Xenopus tropicalis: one gene and its partners. The protein of the gene in region 5 interacts with the protein of the main gene of each other region in a biochemical or structural test. Links are inferred from orthologs where the notes say so. Each region holds a gene or a part of one and is shown on either strand. Other genes may lie near its edges. The genes, in order: thra, thrb, rara, tgs1 and ncoa6.

Evidence for each region.
Region 1: the proteins of ncoa6 (region 5) and thra form a complex in vitro, tested with the Homo sapiens proteins (2 studies listed by BioGRID). The link is inferred for Xenopus tropicalis from reciprocal best matches to the Homo sapiens genes NCOA6 and THRA.
Region 2: the proteins of ncoa6 (region 5) and thrb form a complex in vitro, tested with the Homo sapiens proteins (2 studies listed by BioGRID). The link is inferred for Xenopus tropicalis from reciprocal best matches to the Homo sapiens genes NCOA6 and THRB.
Region 3: the proteins of ncoa6 (region 5) and rara form a complex in vitro, tested with the Homo sapiens proteins (3 studies listed by BioGRID). The link is inferred for Xenopus tropicalis from reciprocal best matches to the Homo sapiens genes NCOA6 and RARA.
Region 4: the proteins of ncoa6 (region 5) and tgs1 form a complex in vitro, tested with the Homo sapiens proteins (2 studies listed by BioGRID). The link is inferred for Xenopus tropicalis from reciprocal best matches to the Homo sapiens genes NCOA6 and TGS1.

What each region holds. Positions count from the first base shown.
Region 1 is NC_030686.2:9,072,137-9,075,651, forward strand, and holds part of thra (thyroid hormone receptor alpha), read right to left. Parts: intron 2,187-3,515; coding exon 1,981-2,186; intron 1-1,980.
Region 2 is NC_030682.2:46,716,341-46,720,300, reverse strand, and holds the start of thrb (thyroid hormone receptor beta), read left to right. Parts: upstream 1-1,151; 5' UTR 1,152-1,432; coding exon 1,433-1,760; intron 1,761-3,960.
Region 3 is NC_030686.2:8,758,057-8,762,246, forward strand, and holds the start of rara (retinoic acid receptor alpha), read right to left. Parts: upstream 2,809-4,190; 5' UTR 2,313-2,808; coding exon 2,144-2,312; intron 1-2,143. UniProt on the Homo sapiens protein: Receptor for retinoic acid. Retinoic acid receptors bind as heterodimers to their target response elements in response to their ligands, all-trans or 9-cis retinoic acid, and regulate gene expression in various biological processes.
Region 4 is NC_030682.2:115,602,159-115,605,673, reverse strand, and holds part of tgs1 (trimethylguanosine synthase), read right to left. Parts: intron 2,820-3,515; coding exon 2,021-2,819; intron 1,742-2,020; coding exon 1,627-1,741; intron 1-1,626. UniProt on the Homo sapiens protein: Catalyzes the 2 serial methylation steps for the conversion of the 7-monomethylguanosine (m(7)G) caps of snRNAs and snoRNAs to a 2,2,7-trimethylguanosine (m(2,2,7)G) cap structure.
Region 5 is NC_030686.2:41,065,879-41,069,851, reverse strand, and holds the start of ncoa6 (nuclear receptor coactivator 6), read right to left. Parts: upstream 2,807-3,973; 5' UTR 2,614-2,806; intron 849-2,613; 5' UTR 730-848; intron 630-729; 5' UTR 595-629; coding exon 369-594; intron 241-368; coding exon 85-240; intron 1-84. UniProt on the Homo sapiens protein: Nuclear receptor coactivator that directly binds nuclear receptors and stimulates the transcriptional activities in a hormone-dependent fashion. Coactivates expression in an agonist- and AF2-dependent manner.

The DNA of each region.
Region 1 (3,515 bases), about 32 Mb from region 5:
CACAGGCACAGGTAACAGAAGGCAGGGCTATACACAGGCGCAGGTAACAGAAGGCAGGGCTATACACAGGCACAGGTTATAGAAGGCAGGGCTATACACAGGCACAGGTTATAGAAGGCAGGGCTATACACAGGCACAGGTTATAGAAAGCAGGGCTATACACAGGCACAGGTAACAGAAGGCAGGGCTATACACAGGCGCAGGTAACAGAAGGCAGGGCTATACACAGGCACAGGTAACAGAAGGCAGGGCTATACACAGGCGCAGGTTATAGAAGGCAGGGCTATACACAGGGAGGGAGATGGGTACCAGATTGTGCTAATATGTACCAAGGAATAGGAACCGCTAAGAACTGAGGGATGAGTAACAAAACGGACTGCTAAGTGCCAAGGAATAGGTTTTATAAATGTACTTCTAAGCACTAAAGCATGGGTACCCGACTGCTAAGTATCAAAATGGAATAATAAGCACTGAGGCTTGGCTACCAGGGCAGGCTGCTATAAACTGAGGAATAGGTACCAGTAATCTACTGCTAAGCACTGAGGGAGGGCCACCCTAATGGAATGCTAAGTGCCAAGGAATGAGCATTAGAAATGTACTACTAAACACTAAAGCTTGGGTGCTACACCGCTAAGTACCAAAACAGACTACTAAACACCAGGGCATGGGTGTACTGATTTACTGATGAGCACTGAAGCATGGGTACCCCAAAAGGCATTGGTACCAAAAATGTACTGAAGAACACATAGGCCAACAGACTTCTAAGCACCCATACCAAAACCGTATGGCTAAGTGCCGAAGCTGGGGACCCAAACTGACTGCTGAACACTGAGGCATGAGTGAACACAGAGACACTATAAAGGAATCAGACATATATTGGAGCAGAATAGAAGGAAATCACTCAGGGCAGGCATGATTATGCACTGCTGTACAGAAAGAAAAATAAGAGGAGGCACTGTTGCATTTGGCAAGAAGCAAAGACTTTGCTACACAAATAAAGAGCATAAAGGGCACAGATCTGTGCTGCAGCACACTGGTACAATTCCCTATTACACACAGATAATGACACCAGTAGCATATATACAGGGGTTAATAGCAGGCTGCATTGCTGCAGAGAGGAACATATACTAATTAACACAACACTAATTACAGGGTACTGATGACAGATTTCAATGCAGCACTTATAGGCATGGATGCCATACTGCTCTGCTGCAGAGAGAGTGAAAGGCACAAGTACCCCCTTGCTGGGCAGCATAGAGGGTGCAGTGTGTATCTACCCCAACTGCACTAAAGGACAGGGGAATACAAATTTGGGGCAGAAATATATGGCTACAATAAAAAATAAGGAAGACTGCACCATTATTCTGCACACACAGACCAGACGGTGCCTTTGACAATGCACTAAACTTGCTTTCTACATTGCCATCTGCGTGCTGACCTATGTTGAAGTCTAGGCAAACTCTTTGGAAACCCCGGCGCTGGGGCAGGGGGCACGAGCTGGAGGGCAACAGATGCTGCTTGCTCTCTCCAAGGGGTCACAGCTTCTCCATCTGCACAGGAAGTTCCCTTACGGAAATCCCAGGGATTCCCTGCTGTATCCTGCAAAGGCTACTTTACTACATAGCTGTGCATCGCCGCTCCCCGTTGGACTGTTCAAGGGGAGCACGGAGGGGAAATCAAAGGTATTAGGGTACCAGAATCAATAAACAGCTGTCTAGGTGCTCTATATAAGCTCTCCTATACCTCTCCCAAACATTAACATTATATATATCCCTGCAGTTTGCCTGCTCTTACTGAAACACTTTCCATTGTTAGACACGTCTGTTTCCTGTAATTATGACCAACTCCATATGGTCTCATTTTTAATTTATGAATAGCTCCCAAGCTGCTCCAACTTAAAACTCCACCCATGGCTCTGCGGCCCAGAACGATGGCCGCCATATATCTACTGTACTACATTGAATTCTTCATCAGCCTCACCAGAAACTTCCTACGCTGTTTCCAGTGGCTGCCCTGAGCGTTGGTGCTCCTGTGAGCTTCTGTTACGATGCGAATCAACTCCCACTCCTCTTTGCTGGGCTCTGGACGCTGTTGCAGAGTCTTGATCATCTCCTCCTTCCGCCGCCGCTCTCGATTCTCTTCAATCAGTTTTCGCTTGGCTACCCGCTTGGTATCATCCAGGACAACTGGGGAGATGGAGAGAGACAGACAGGGAGAGCAGTGAGAATAAAAGAGGTGAAGGTGAACAGAATTAAACGGATGAGGAGAAAAACATAATAGACTCAAGGAAACAAAGGCAAGCCAACATAAAAAAATAGACAGATTCCAGTGTGAAACAGGAATGTATAAGGACTGATATTGAAAAATGAGAGAAAGAGGGGAAAAAAGGCAGAGGGTGAGAACTCTGTGAGCATGGACATTGAAGGAGACATACTGTGTGGAAATTAAGAATGTGCCTGGGCATTATATTCCTCTAAACATGGTGAGAAAAGTAGCGTTTTGGGTTGATTTATTGAAATAACCCCCCCAAACCCTACTAGCCCTGCCCATCTGTCCCACTTCCATCCACTTCCTTTCCCAGGCTGTGCAGGGGGGCCGGCGGCACTCAGCACACTGCCCTGTAGGATAGGAACCAATCAGCAGCTAGGCTGACCTGATAGAGAACTGAAGCCCGTCTTTCCCTGGGTGACTGGAGGGCTGTGATTGGCTATCCCTCTCCTACTGTGCTTCTAGCATGGACAATTAGGACTCATCCACCTCTTATTTGGAACACTCACAGGGACCAGAGAGGATAATATTTAGTAAAACTGGCACCACTTATAATTCATTATTGCCTACAAGCTTGGAGGGGTTTACAGTTATACTATATGTCTCCGTTAAGATGTTCAGAGCAGTGCTGGATTGGGCCAACTAGGGCTCCTCCTGATATTCAGGCACAAACTAGCAACTTAATAAAGAAATCAGTGCAAAAATGGAAGAGAAGCTCTTGTTTTAAAGCCATGGATACAGCGTATGATTAGATAATCATGTGGTGCTTCAATAAATGCGCAATAAAAAACTGAAGCCTATAAGTATAAATGGGAACTCATCAGACATTCATCCGAAGGCTTGAGAAAGGATAAGTGCTACCTGATTTCCTCCATGACCCCATTGTTGGTTGCCATGTCAGTGGGTTTCTCCCCATGGATTTGTATGCAAAGTCATAAAAACACCCTGATCATAATGAGAAGTGTAAGTGGAATGCTGTATGCAAGGGTAACCACACAGTATTATAGACCAGACTGGCGTACATGGCGACCCAGCCACCATAGTTGACCCGAAACTGTTTCTTTTGGGAAGAATGGGCCTAAATTCCCCCAGGCCTATGGAAGACGCTGATGAAACGCTGAAGGAAATGTTTATTTGAAGTTCCTGCTGCTCTACAAGGTGCCACCGGTTGCTGAACGAAGGGTTTGCATACTTCATGCAGGAATATTTAGTGCTGAATAAATAAGCAAAATGTCTCCATTTTTGGT
Region 2 (3,960 bases), on a different chromosome or scaffold from region 5:
TAATGAATGTGAGTACACAAAGTTTTAACTATCATTTATTTCACTGTTCTAATTTCGCCACCCAGTGAGCCAAATATCCTGTTTGCCAAATGTACAGAATTAAAACTGTTTAAAATTTGTGGTATAATATAAAAGTAGTTTCAGAGTCTTTCAGTAGCCAAAAAGGGCAATAAATGTGAAGGACTGCATGTGTCCTGTAAACCTCCAGCTGGGCATCAGTGACAAGTTTTTGAAATTCAGTGTGGCCTATTTAGAAAAATTCTAATTTGTGATTTTTTTTCACATTATTAAGCAATCAAGTTTTTGAGATTCAGGTTTTTTTAATTAATAAGCACACATCCAAGTTTTTTCCAATTAATTAAAACTAACCAAACTCGATCTTATGCTTATTGATTAAAAAACCTGAATCTTAAAAACCTGATTGCTTATAAACATGACAAAAAGTTTGCATTCTACAACAACATTTTATGTAAATAAGCCACTTCCTACTGGCTATGTTCATAATTCTACCAATACAGTGATAAACAACACTTACCATTTATTTATCTGTATTTTTATTTCTATAGCTGTAACATGTGAGTTAGACACTCAAGAGACAGTCAAGCAGTGAAAAGGGACATTTTTAAACTTTGACCTTGCTAATTTATTAGACATAAACAGGAGGTGATTAGTCAACATTTTAAATTTCTTCTATATAAGTATAAATAGACAAACAATGCATTTCACAGGCTGTTCAAACCAAGCACAATGTTCAGTTGTAGCAAAGCTGGCACATAAATGGCAATCAATACTTGAAGATCTGTGCCTAACAAGCAGTTAATGCTGTAACACCAAATCAATATGATCAATACAACTAAACAGCAGATTAAGATGCTAACACGTTTACCTTTTATGTTCTGTTATGGGTCATCTAGGTTCTGCTATTGGAAATCTAAAGGGATATAGTTAGATTCTGGATTATTGATTTTAGGATTTACCATAGCCCTATGTCTTTGTTAGGCTTTTCCCGTTGGTTGTCAAATAAACTATAAGCACTCGTATGTCACCATGACAGAATGAATAGAAGTTTGCAAAGTTCTTGTAAAATCTTAATTCAGCATAAGATTGGTGTCAAGCTTGCCTTGTGTTCTGCCTCTAATGCGCTCTGCTACCTGTCTGTGCTACCATCTTTACCAGGATTTAGCCTGCAGATTAGGACCTTAAACTGTCATAAATCTCTTTTCCAACATGTTTGGCTGCTGGAGTTGCTCAGAAGCATCCCAGATATAAATAGGATCTTAGTACACAAGGTGCTGCTTCAAGGAGAATCACAGTGTTTTGAGTCAGCTTTTAGTGCCCGTTGTATATTCATTGCTCCATTCCTGGTTCTATGTCTATGCATGCAGGTGGCTGTTGTGTATACGTAAGGTAGAACTTTAGCTCGCATAGCAAAATGAACTATTGCATGCAAGAATTCTATGATGTGCACCAGGCTGCTGCTAACAACTGCTGCATGCAGCCTCCTGATTATTGCACGTATATTGAAGATAGTCAGAGCTACAGCAGTTCTGAGGCTCAGGTCCTACACAACAATAACATATATATGGAACAGGCCTGGGCGGTGAATCAACCTTATACCTGTAGTTACCCTGGAAACATGTTTAAAAGCGAGTACTCTGAAATGGACATGGCCCTGAATCAGTACAGCCAACCCGAGTATTTCACTGAAGAAAAAACTACTTTTCCACAAAGGCAGTCTCCGATGTACTCGCAGAAAAAAGGTAGGGGCAATTTTATACCGGGCTTCTTTCTTTTTTTCTATAATTTCGAAGAGCAGTTACCTTTGTGCATGTGCATTCACCTCCAGCGCTGTATAAGGTCGGAAAAGTTGCAGGTTTTTAATACACATTTTTATTTTTAAGCTTGTTTCTAATCAACCCAAAGCCGTGATCCAGGTTGCTAGGAGATTAAATGTTTTCTTCCTCCAGGCAATGGGAATTTTATACTTTTTATTTTTATCTTGCATTCTGTTTTCTTCTTATTTGTAGGGTACCCCCACCCCATGTAATTAGGCATCCTTTATAATAACCCTGCAAGGATGTGCTTTGTGCCATGCCGGAGTACAGTCCCATTGTTTTCTAGCTGTTTATCTTGCCTTTCTTTGTTTGTGAAATCTGTAGCCACGACCTGCAGATTTGGGCACCGTATCAGCATGAAAAGGGACATAATTTCTTGTCTTCAAATAAAGCAAGGTTCAGTTATTGGCAGTGAGCAGCAGCCTGTCCTTATCTATGTACAGACAACATTGATGGCAGCTAATCTTCAGCCTGTTGCATTTATTTGAGATTAACCCTGATATTACAGTAGTACAGCACAATCTAACTAGCTACATTGCAGTAATGCAGGCTATTTCTTATACTTCATTTACCAGTTAGAATTGTACTTTAACTTTTTACTGCAAGCATTGTTTTGATTTGGCATGACGCTCCCCTTCCTGCTGCTATCTTCAGTCAAAAATGTTCATTATACCATTCCTACCTATATGGTTTTTTTTAGCAGCAACAGGTACTTTGTGCATTCTCTTATTTCGCTTCAGGGATTTGTGGCACATCAGTAGAGTATAAATAGTGTCCGTGACTCACAAACTGAGCTGATTGTACAGTTTAATATATAATATACTCATAGACCAGGCTGTGGCTTTATTTATTAGAGACTGGGGTGCCCACAGATTTCACCTAAAAGTTCTCTAGAAAGCCTATAGAATTGAATGGGGCAGAATTATTTTGCTGTGAATTTTGTGGTGAGTTGTCTGTGTCCATAGATAGATATGCCCCTGATTTTATTATCCATTTATTTTCATTAATATATGTTTTCTATGATTTTATTTTCTCGATTCATTGTTTTACACCACTGTGCATAGCATTTTTAACTATTAAACAATTTATTTTTTGTACTGTAACAACAATTCTATATATATGATATAGGGGCTATGTTTTTTCTTTTACATTTAGCTTTAAATGTAGTTGTATATATATATATATATTCTATACATTTTTCCTATTTTTGTAATTTATATTTTTCATCAGCTTAGCCAAAGCCACTAATTAATAGTTCCTTTTTCACATATTGCCTAATAAGATTTGATAGAAATGTTTTTTTTTTCAACTTGTTTTAAAAAATATGAATACAATTTTATTATTTAACTACTTAACATTAAATGTATATTAGTAAGTGTAAATTCGTGGCATCTGATAATTTATCTTTGCATTTGTATATTATTTTTTACCTTGCCTCCTAGGTTCAAGGATACAACAAGTTTTTTACCAAGATATATTTTTTAAACGCCTGTTTATTGAATTTTCTATAAAATTCAATTAACCCTAGGACAGAAGGTTCCACAAAGGACATGCTTGGGCTTATTGATCAAAATTGATTTGAATTTAATGAAGACTCTATAACAACTCATTAAATACAATTAAGAAAAAGAACAGGTGTCCCATTTCAACCTTTATTATTGAAGCTGTGTCTTACACTCAGAAAATGTAATACTGATTGTTTGAATGTAATGGCTAGACAGTTCAATATGTTTCCAGTAAGAACTGAACTGTTCTTCTGTTAGGTGAAAATATAGTTTAATGTAAAATTAGATATCTTATTTACTGGATACTACCATATTTATTCACAATTTCAGAAGAAATTTATCTTAATTTTGTATTCCCTTTTCTCCTGTTATAAAGCAAGGTTTTCACTTTTTCTACCTATCATACAGCATTGGAAGTAGCCATGATCAAGTCTTTAACATGTTGAATGCTCACATTTGTCATCCATAATATACACAGCGGCATGGGTTGCCATGTCCTCCTTTAATTACTGGCATTATGACATACTTAAAGCAGGGCTTCCAAAGCTCTAGCACAATTCTTTATATTTCATTTTCTTCAAATGGTCAGCAGATAAAGGTATGAGGTTGCCAACCTGCAT
Region 3 (4,190 bases), about 32 Mb from region 5:
AGTGCTTCCCAAAATACTACCACAAACCCACAAAATCAAGGACAAGTAACCATAATAAACTTTAGTGCTGACGTGAGCGTATTGGCTACACTGTGCCTTTAATTCTCCACTGTATTAATCTAATAGTCATATACACGGCCCGCATTAAAAATACAATTAAGGGGCAGTTCACCTTTATATTAACTTTTGGTGCAATGTAGAGAGTACTATTCTGAGTTAATTTGCAGTTGGTCTTTTATTTTTTTTATTATTTAGGTTTTTAAGTGGCAACTCTCCAGTTTGGTATGTCCAGCAGCTATCCGGTTGCTGGGGTCCAATTTAACCTAGCAACCAGGCAGTGGATTGAAAGAGAGACAGAGATATGATAGAGGAGGGCCTACATAGAAATGTAAGTAATACAAAGTAACAATAACAATAAAACTGGAGCCTCACAGAGCAATAGGTTTTTGGCTGCCGGGGTCAGTGACCCCCATTTGAAAGCTGGAAAGAGGCAGAAGAAGGAGCAAATAATTAAAAAACTATACAAAATAAAAATGAAGACCAACTAAAAAGTTGCAAAGAATAGGCCACTCTGTAACAGAGTTAACTACCCCTGTAATGAAAAGGTTTCACAATCTGGCTGCACTGCTGGTTCTGACTACTGAAACAATGCAGGGATACCCCGGAGGAGGCTGGACTTCTGCTACATGTGAGAGTCCCAGAGGACAGGAAGGCCCAAATGCTGCTTTGATTTCATTTATCAATTACAAAAAACCACTAGAATGTATAATGAATTTATATCGGCAAGTTGCTTAGGATTACATTATCGAAACAGTTTTTGGGTGCAGTTGCCCTTTAATGCTCCATACCATACACTGCAGCCACATTGTTATCCGACTGCTGCCCACCAGCATATCCGGCTATACTTTTTTACACAGAGGGGTAAAGGAAGAGTTAAGTGGAGCCACGTTTTAGGGTGAAGACACACAGAGCTACTTAGTAGCAGCTACTTGTCACAGCGACAGAAACAGACAATGCTGATCATTTACTGATAACTGTCTCTACTTGTGCTTTAGCAGAGGCAATTCTCAGTATTGTCTATGGCAGGGGATTTTCTGGAGTTTAGTAGCCGTGACAAGTAGCTGCTACTAAGTAGCCCAGTGTGTCTTCACCCTAAGTGTTTGTATCAAATAGTATTATGCAGGATATTGTTATTACTACATTGAGTTTTGCCCCTATGCCCCGAGAGTTACAGAGAGACAGGAATGGTGACTTAATTACTATCAAACTGGATTGTGGGCCCAGAGGCCCATTCCTCGCTCACGGAACCGTTACAAAGACAGGGCCCAAATTCATTTACGAAAATAAACCGCTTTGAAACGATACAGCGCGGCTCGGCATGAAAATGCAAAACACATAATTTGTCATTTATTTCCATTACCCTCATTAAGTTGCATTCACCCAATAATAGCCAGAGGCAATGTAACACAGGAACTAGACCTGTACAAGTGAAGCTTGTAAGGGCATGCTGGGAGTTGTAGTTCCATAACAGAAGAACCCCCATAGGTTTGTGGATAAAGCGCTACTCTGAGAATACTGCATAGCCCAGATATGATGCTATTGTTATTATACTGGCGATATTAAAAAAAATATTCATTTCAATCCGAGCGCAATTGAGGCCTAAACGCTTATCTAGCAGTAAGTTCCCTGCGTTACTAACAGCCCCCGTATAGGGAAACGGTCTCCGGCTAGAACGTTCTACTAGCGGTAAATGAGGTTATCTTGTCATGGTCTAGAGACAGTCCCACCCACAACAGTCTAGAAAGAATTTGTTTGCCATTGTCTCCACTGCAGGACAAACAGCAAAACAAAGATCTTCCCATTAGGACAGACGGATAATCCAACTCTACGAGCGGCGCAAAGAGACTATTGTTCGGCGCACGTTATAGATTGGGATTATTTATACAGAGCATTATCCGTACAGATGTTGCCGCGGCGCATCTGGACATAGGCATTAACGTGCCACAATTACAGATGTCTTCTACGAGAATAATGGGCAATAAAATTGTCAAATTGATAATAAAATAAGAACAATAAGCCAGGCGCGAGCGGCACCGCCGCGGTACAAGGGACGGGGATTGTGGAGAGGGTATCACCTACGTACAGTGGTTGGAACTGCTCCAGTGTTGACTTCGAAGTGGCGTCCCGTAGGGATGCATGGTCCCGAGTCCTTTCTCCTGCAATAGGCAAGCCCGGTTCTGGCTATAGAAATCCATCATATGGTAGTGCGTCGGGCTAGTGCCCAAACCAGGAACGTCCACATTCTCGTACATCCTACAATCCCTTCCAAATTCACCATATAACAAAAAGAAAAGAAAAAAAAAAATGGGGGGGTGGAAGAGAATTCAGCAGTCTGGGGTTGAATTGGAATTTTTAGGGTAATAGGGGGGGAAAAACCCCAAAGATCCGGTAGGAAATTGTTATGGACTTAGGAGGAATCCCACAGCAGAGCCATTGGAGATTCTCCAAGTCGGTGGGAAATGCAGGGATGGGCTTCTGCAGGCAGATCCGCTGGGAATATCACATGGGAGACTCTCCGCACGGATTCCATCAAATAACTGGAACTGGGGGGGGAGTCCTGGGTGTAAAACGTGAACCCCACTAGCTGCATATAGGGTGGTCCGTGCAGAGCCTTTCCTTGTGTCCCAGAACCCTACATGCCCTTTCCATCATGCTGCAGCGTAGCCCAATTTTTTGCTTCTCAATCTGTTGTTCTTCCGGCTGAAGTCATGGAATCCCTGGCACAGCACAACGGGGGCAGAACCCCCACTCCGAACCACTTAATTTGGGGGGCACCCAGTTTGGCTGGGGATCAGGGAGAGTGGCAGGGGATTAAAAGGGTTGCCCGGCATGTCGATCCCTTACCTATAAGTCTTAATTAGGCCAAATCTGTTGGGGATCAGCTCCCAATCCCTACAGGGGCAGCTGGAGTCCTTGCAGGCAGATAGTGTGAGATAAGGGGCAATTCTTCTCAGCAGGGGGAAGGGGGTTGCCCTGTAATGGAAGGTCTCTCTATGGACCCCCAGTCAACTTCTCCTGCTGCAGAATCTGCACAACTTCCTGTGTGGGATCTCCTTGTTAGCACAACGGGCTCCTTGTTAGGATCAATGCTAATGGGGACGGTTATCCTTGCACCCCCAGGGGCGACCGGTGCCACAGACTGAAGGATCCCTGGTCAGACGGAGGTATTCCTGCAGGCTTCCCTGGGTATGTGGGTTACTAGGCAGAATGGAGGCTCCATGCAGAATGGGGATGCCCGGTTTCCTGGTAACGCGGCGGAGGGGCTTCCCTGCTCTCCTGTAATGGGCCGAGGCGCATTGGGGGAATACTGTTCCTCTCAGGACTGATCCCCGTGACACACACACACCGCTCAATGCTGCAAACTCTACAGCCGTGTCTCCTCCTGCCTCCTCCCCCTCCTGATGGACTGGAGGCAGCTGAGCCTCGCAAGTCAACACCCCCTATCTTTTAACCCATTGCATGCCACTGGGGGCACAGCTCAATCACAACAAAGCCTGCCCTGCCCATTTCCCACCTTCCTGTGTATTCCTGCCATGATCTAAATACCCCAACCCCCCCCTTCAATACCCCCCTCATTTGCCTAATATCATGCATGTGACCTCTCAGTGACCCTCTCGCCTCACCTCCAAACGACCCAACCGTCTCCTTCTCTCACAGTGACATCACAGACATTTCCCCCCCCCCCCCCCCGCATATTTGGGAATCAACTGACCCCTCCCCCCCCCAGTACTAGTATGGCAGGCTCCTGCTAATAAATACAAATGAGTGTATATACCCCCACACCAGCCCAACACCAGTGGCTTTATAACTTATTCTGATTTTGGCCTGACAAGTTTTTTTTTCCCCCAAAAAAAATAAAAATAAAAATCACTGACTGCTACAACTTGGGTCCCTGCTATGGGCCATGGAATGTAAGCACTGTGGGACGCCCTTCCCAGGGGGCAGCGAGGGTTTTGGGGTAATTATCACCTGAGCAACTGACAATGGTGGCCAACTACAGCAGGTAGGAGCCACCAAGATGCCTGTATGAGGGTTAAGCTGGCCATACACCTATCAATACAATCTTCATACGATTTTCGGACCATGTGTGGCCTCAGAATTATTGTCCCGATACTTTCCGTACCATGGTG
Region 4 (3,515 bases), on a different chromosome or scaffold from region 5:
TTTATTGCGGGCAACTAATCTCCCTGTGTGCCAGAACCCTAAGAGGCAAAGAGCACATAAAGATAATGAAAAATAAAAAAGGAGAGGGTAGTGGAGAAAGAAGACAATACAATTAGAGAAGGGGTTTTCGAGAAGAAGCAAAAATTGGATGAAGTGAAAATCAGTTGTGAAGTGGGGAGAAATGAGCAAAAATAAGGAGAAGGGACTGGCAAAGAGAACAACCAACAAGTGAGAATTGAAAAGCAAAATAAAGGGGAGAGAAGGGAATAGTTCAAGAAAAAGGGGTTGGGAAATGAATGGTAAAGTGGTAGAGAAGCAGTGCGGGTTTATGGAAAGGGAGGGGTTAAAAGTGAAAATAGGAGCTAAATTGTAAGTACCTACATAAATAGGGAACAGACACCCACAATTTAAGAAAGAATAAAAGGACAAAAGACACTGTTCAAGAGAAGAAAATTCTGGTAAAAAGGTTTTATATATGCGTAAGGACATTTGTCAAGATTGCATAGGATGTCTGATTGACCAGCTTGTATTAGTGTTTAGAAACCAGGTAGTAAGCACAACAGAGACCCTTTCCGCACGCCCTGGCTCACCAAAATAATGAACGGTGCACACTGCTGGAGGGATCAGCACCCTCCCAAAACCAACTTGGCAACAAAAGCAAATGGCACACAGAGCTACGAACTAGGGAACAAGCCCTTTAAAGTTTTATTGCGGAGGTGTAACGTTTCGGTGCAGAATAACCCCTTTATCAAGCATAAAAAAAATCAGTGAAAGCACAAAAAATTTATACACAATTCATTAGCCACATCCCCAAAGTTAATTGGTAAATTGAATAAATACTTCATCAACCACAGTGGTGTTATATTGGAACAACCAAACAAATTCCAATACAATACATTAAATAAAGTGCATTATATACATAATATGTCTGTTAACATCTCAGATAAAATGCATTAAATACATAGTATAACAGCCAATAATACATTGAAACTTCATTGTGCAAAAGTGAACCGTTTTCCTCCCTGTTCCAAACACAGTCTCATGACAGAGTGAAAACAAATGTATCATAGGAGGAGAGAGTCCACTGGATACTAAAACAAAGTGCCCATGTGAAGTTAAAATGTTGCAAACTGAACCCTAGTCAAAAACATTCCTTACAAGAATCACAATCCAAAATAATAAGATTTCTTACCCTAACCTGAAGGGAAAAGGTATGTATCCCTGCTGCGTATAGAAACCAGGTAGTGTCTCATGCTATATCTATGTGCATCGTAACCTGGGCTTGGGGTGCTTGACTGTTAGGCATGAAAAGATGCCTAGGGGAAAAAAATTGCATTGGAAATTCTTAGAATCTAAAATAAAATTAAAAAAAAAAAAATAAAAATAATATTTTGGAATAATATTTTTCCTTATCAAATAAATTAGGGGAAATTATGGTACTGTAGCCATTTATAGATTTCTCTTACAGTAGCAACAGGACATCTCTCTGTGGAGGGGTAATTTCAGAATTAGTACAAAAAACACTCAAGATTGCCATTTTTACTACTGTCCTAAGCAGCATATTTTGCTTTTCCTTCAACAAAAAAAAGGTCATCTGCAAAAGAAAGCACACAACAAGGGTTTTACCTTCTCTTGATTTTAGCTTGTTTGCACTCAGGCGGTTCATCATCTTCCTCATCTCCATCCTTCAAGATGGCTGAGGGACTGGTCCGCCAATATGAACCTGAAGACCTTTGAGACACTAAAGCAAAATAGGAAATACCTATAAGCAAGAAACTTCACCATCCCACACTAACTACCTATCGATAATTATAGGGCTAAAAGCACAAGCACGTTTATAGAGTACTCTAGAGTAACAGCAGCAATACAGACATATAAGCGGAGACAATACAGGAATTGAACAAAGGTCTTGTAGCCCATGACGACTGCGCATGCTGCAAAGCTAGAATGCTTACAAATTTGTTTGCCATCACAAACAAGTTTGTTGTTGATAAAAGCTACTAGGAAAAAGTTTACAGACCTGGCGGGCTTGTATCTGTATGTCCAGATGCTGCATACTTTTTCCCCGTTCCATCACTAGGCTCATTCTGGTTAGGATCAGGACAATGCTTTCCAAAGCTTTCTGGGGTTTGCAGCTGATTGCCCTCATTAATAACACTTAGAGAAGGATGGCCTTGATCACTTTCCTCTGTATCAAGATTAATGTTGCTCATAGATTTTACAAGAGTTTTGCAATGGTCTTCCTGAAGGCAATCACTGTCTCCAGCAGACATCCTGGGGCTGATGTTAAGGTTGCTTTCATCTGCACTCTGGGATTGTATTTCACTGATTTTAGACACATTGGGTGCATCAAAAGTCCACCCTTGATTAGACCAGTACTGAAACTGTTCAAAATAGCTCCAGTAACATTCATTATAACATTTATCCCATTCATCCTTGGTATCAGCAGAGCTCCAGGGTTCAAGGCTACAAAGCTCTCCTGACAAGGATAGCTCTGGATGCTTTTCAACCCAGTGCTGCCATAATAACCCTTGGCCATACTGATTCCAATATTCTTCCCATTTGTCTTTTACATGAGACTCTGTGGAGGGTGCATTTAGAGTAGATGATTCAGTTGTATTGACATCCTTATGATTTACATTACAGCCACCTTGTATATCAGCTTGCTCAGGATCTGCAGGAAATTCTTCTTCACAAGAATGGCTGGCGTTGTGGGCTAGCTCTTCTATTGCTTCTTGGATACGCTCAGCTAAAGGTCTCTTGCATTTGGTCTTTCTCTTCTTCCAAATTTTATTCACCTTTTCACAAGAATCCAGTGGCTAGAGAAAATTTATATCATTCCTCAGTATTAAATATGGCTGCAGACAGAAGCATTCACAAAACAAGAATTAAATAGAAATTTCCCTGCTAGTGGAAGGCTACAAGTTAACAATACATTGTTAAGCGCTGCGTACATAAGTAGCGCTTTATAAAGATATACATACATACATACATTCTGTCAAACTAAATGACAGAATTTTATGTAAAAAGAAATTGAACTGAACAAGGCTCAAAGTTTGCTTCAAGTTTAACAACTCTCCACCATCGATCACATTTCTAGCTCTTAAAATATTAGGAGTGAGTGTTTTATTAGCACATCCCAGTCTAGGGTAACCGGATGTAGAATATGTGATGTGGATCACGGAGGAGGGTCAAAGAAAGTGTAGACCCAACTCAAGTTATGTACATAACCCTATTCATGAACGTAAGGGCATATTATATTTAATGTAATTTACTGGTGCATAAAAAAAAAAAAAAATTATATATGATTTCTTTTGTACCAATATTTGAATATGGTTTTTTCCTACGTAAAAGTGCTTAATGTCTGCAGCTAGCAAAACTATTATATCATTTAGGATATGGGATGCTCACTAATGTATTTTGCAAGCCGCTATTTGACATCTGGTAGACCTCTACCAAAAAAAAGTCAGCATACAAATTTGAGTGAACGTTAGTCAAACAAGACCGGAATTTTT
Region 5 (3,973 bases):
TAAAATATATTTCAGCGTAAGGAAATATGCAAAGGACCAATTATAAAAAGACAAAAAACAAGGGCAGAAGCAATACGGTTATACCTTCAATTTGGACAGACAGAATTCCTAGGTCCCGTAGTTGCTGGTTGTTACTCTGAGCGAGGAGGCGCAGCCGCTCAGCCGCTTCCCTTGGGATGTTGAACGTTACCCTGACGCTGTTCCATGGCTCCACCTTCTGAACTCTCAGCTGGTCGGACTCTACACAGGGAGGACATGCAATTTGAATGAGTTTGTTTGCATGTTACCGACTAGCACAGGGAAACCCAGGGAGATCATGTATTTGCCCCCCCCACCCCCCATGCCCCTGAATAAGTTGATTACTATACCCATGCTAACGAGGCTTGGAACAGTATTCAAAATCTTGTCTAGCTTTTGCTGGAAATCAGTGTCTCCAATATCTCCCTTGAAAGCCAAGAAAATGGTAGAGTCTGCTTCTTCTAATCTGAGCTCATCTTCTATTCCGGAGTCGGTGTCTCCATCTTGCGGTTGTGAAGGGGACGCAGGAGGTCTGGTCTGGGGCTCTCCTGGGTCAGGAAGGTAGTGGGAGGCCATGACCGTGTGTCTTCCAACTCTGTGACAATGACACTCTGTTGAGGAGTCAAAAAAACACAACACACAAAATGTCAGAGCTCATATCTATAAAAAATAAATGTACAAACGTACAACCTGGATTTGCAGTTCCCTTACCAATAATGTTCCAAGTTCTTCCCTTTTCCTACGTTTCTACACCGTCTGATTTTGTCAGATGAATGGCAGAGGCAGGCATCTTCAGTTATTTCCACTACCAGGATCTCCAATTTGTTAGCCTGTTGAGAAAATTATAAATAACTTAGATACGAGTGAAGAAAAAAATTTACCCCCCCCTTCACTGGTGATAACCACAAAAGTCTATGGAGGGCTAATTGCTTCCCCCTTCCATCTCAGCTGTAAATTGCACTGCCCTTAGTGTTTAAACAATGGCCACTGAGTATTATGCAATTTGGCCAGACAGACAGATATTAACTGGGTTAGCTGAAAAAACTGACCACCTTGGTCCATTCCCAATAGGTCTATACAGGCCTCAACATTACCCAGGCGGAGACTAATCATGTGATTTGGACAAATATCCATGGGGTTAGCGCTAAACAAGCAGATCATAGCATGCATGTCCAGATAACCAGTTATCTCAAGGGTATTTGGGAGAAAAACAAAAGGAAAGACTTTTTGGTATATTCTGAGGATAGGACGACCTTCACTGAAGGCACTCTGAGCTTACAACATCACTGGCTAAACATATGCTAGTCATTGGTACGTAAGCATATGCTGTTGGCTATGGATGTGAACTGAAATGACAAATATTTATAAATGCAATTCAAATACTTGTACAATTCAGAGTGCATCAACTTTGCCTTAGTCGTGTCTCGTTATTGTCATATCGACCCCCTCCAGCCCTAGCCTAGCAACCTTCTTATATTTAATATTTCACCTCTTTAAGATACTTAATGCTTTGACTTCTTCCAAATCCTCAAACTAAAACCTAATATCAGTACATCAGTAACTATACCAGCTCATCACATTAGCCCCTGCCTTGCCCAGCCTAAAGGGCAGTTTGGGTGAGACTGGGGATGCATGATGATTGGCTTAGATATTCCTTGAAGACCATGATGTTGAGCAACATAAGTTCCTAGCCATTCTTGGAACAATCGCAGGATGAACGTTTTCATAAATCTGTAAACTTGCCATTGTTGTAAAGGAGAAGAAGGTTAAATAAACCCAGGCCTGGGTCATTATCTACCTGATGACACAGGGGTGACAACTAAGCACCATTATTATATAGTTTAGCAAAGATGTGCCTGCTGCCTACCTTCTTATCAAGTCCATAACTGGTCACTCACAGCCCCCGTAGCACTGAAAGAGGGAAGGCAAATTGGTGGGACCTTCTATACCTGCCACTTCTATGGATCTGGAGACATCATCATCATTTACTTATAAAGCGCCAACACGTTATGCAGCACTTTATTAAGCAATATGTGGTGTAAAGCCTGATGCTCTAGCCCTATAAACAGCACCCAACCCTTTGCTGCATATCCCAGCAGCCCTCACCAGCCACAGGGTGAAAAGGATAGGATAGGGGGGACATTAATAAAGCCACTGGGTCCTTATATCTCACTTATATCACAATGCTGATGGGGCTTACAGTTAAATATGTCCTTGTAAATAAGCACACCCTAATGATAGTAACATAGTAAGTTGGGTTGAAAAAAGACATACGTCCATCACGTTCAACCATAATGCCTATATCTATATGATGGATGTCAATATCAAATATAAATTACACTAGAGGGTTGTAACATAAGGGCTAGTGCAGCCCCACAGTACCTAAATCCCACTATAAAGAAACATTAAAGGGTAAGTAAAATGCCTTCATTACACACACTGTCTATTATGCAAGCAGACATTTGCAGTGCATAGGACTCCAGCTACCCAGTAGGTACGAATAGGTGTTAATGGCAGATATAAGACCAAATGCACAGTTACAATGTTTACATTTCGCCATACAGGCCCAGTTATGCATGCATATAACAAACATACCCATTCTCATTATTGTGCACCCCCCTCACCTCGCACCGGACACTTGGTTCCTTCCGCTCCCGGGAACAACGAACAGCAACGAGGCCCAGCCCGTACCACTAGCTGCAAGCGGCAGGGGGGTGTTGACCTCACAATAAGCACTAAACTGCAAGGAAGCCGCGCTTGCGTACACCCCTGTCAAAATGGTAGAGTCCGCCCGACCAATGGATTGGCGAGAGGCGTGACGTCAGTGCGGCTGAGCCCAGGAGAGGAGTACGGGGGTAGTTCCGTGCTAGGCAGGGCTACGGCTTGCCAGAAAGTGGGCGGGACTTGCCAGAAAATGGGCGAGGTTGTGCGCAATGAAAGGAAGTGTTTCAGTGTGGAGGGGATGCTGACACCGTCTGACCTCCATGACAGGGACAGAGACACCTGTCCCACAGCTTTAGGGATGTTTTATAGTTTAGCGCTTGGGATGTTCTGCTAATACAGCCTTCAGGCTTGGGAAGTTGGCTTTTATGGATAAGGGTCCTTTCTGGTGGTTTTTTTTTTAAGGCTGCTAAAAAAGACATTTTTTTTTAAAAAAAACCACCAAAATGGATTTATGCAGATTATTTTCTTTGAAGTTTATTGTTCTGCTTTATTATTTCAGAGAGAAAAATTATTGAAACATTTTTGCAACCATAGGGCTCTGTGTGAAACAGCACATGTTGTAAAACATTCCAGAGATGGGTTTCTGGTTAATAGATCCAGCAAACGGCATGAAGGAATGCTGAGAGTTATAGCTCTTAAAGGAACAGTAACACCAAGAAATGAAAGTGTATAAAAATAATTAAGATATAATGTACTGCATTTGCCGAAATCGCGCCGCCGCGTGTGCCACCGGCGACTTACATGTTCGCCGGTGGGATGGCAACTCGGGGAGATTAGTCGCCCGCGAACAGGGAGATTTGTCGCGGGCGACTAATCTCCCCGTGTGCCAGAGCCCTAAAGGAGAAAAGGCAGAGGCTCATAGCAGATAACAGATAAAGCCCCATTATATTCTACAGAGCTTATCTGTTATTCGCTATGTAACCTGTGCCTTTTCTCCTTTTTTCCAGCTTGAATGTCTGCCCCCGGGCTACACAGCGGGGTATTTATATAAACTATAGTAGGGTTTCTGTAGCAAACACCCCAGCTGTACCAGTGCAGGAATGGCTGCCCCCGGGGCTACACAGCGGGGTATTTATATAAACTATAGTAGGGTTTCTGTAGCAAACACCCCAGCTGTACCAGTGCAGGAATGGCTGCCCCCGGGGCTACACAGCGGGGTATTTATATAAACTATAGTAGGGTTTCTGTAGCAAACACCCCAGCTGTACCAGTGCAGGAATGGCTGCCCCCA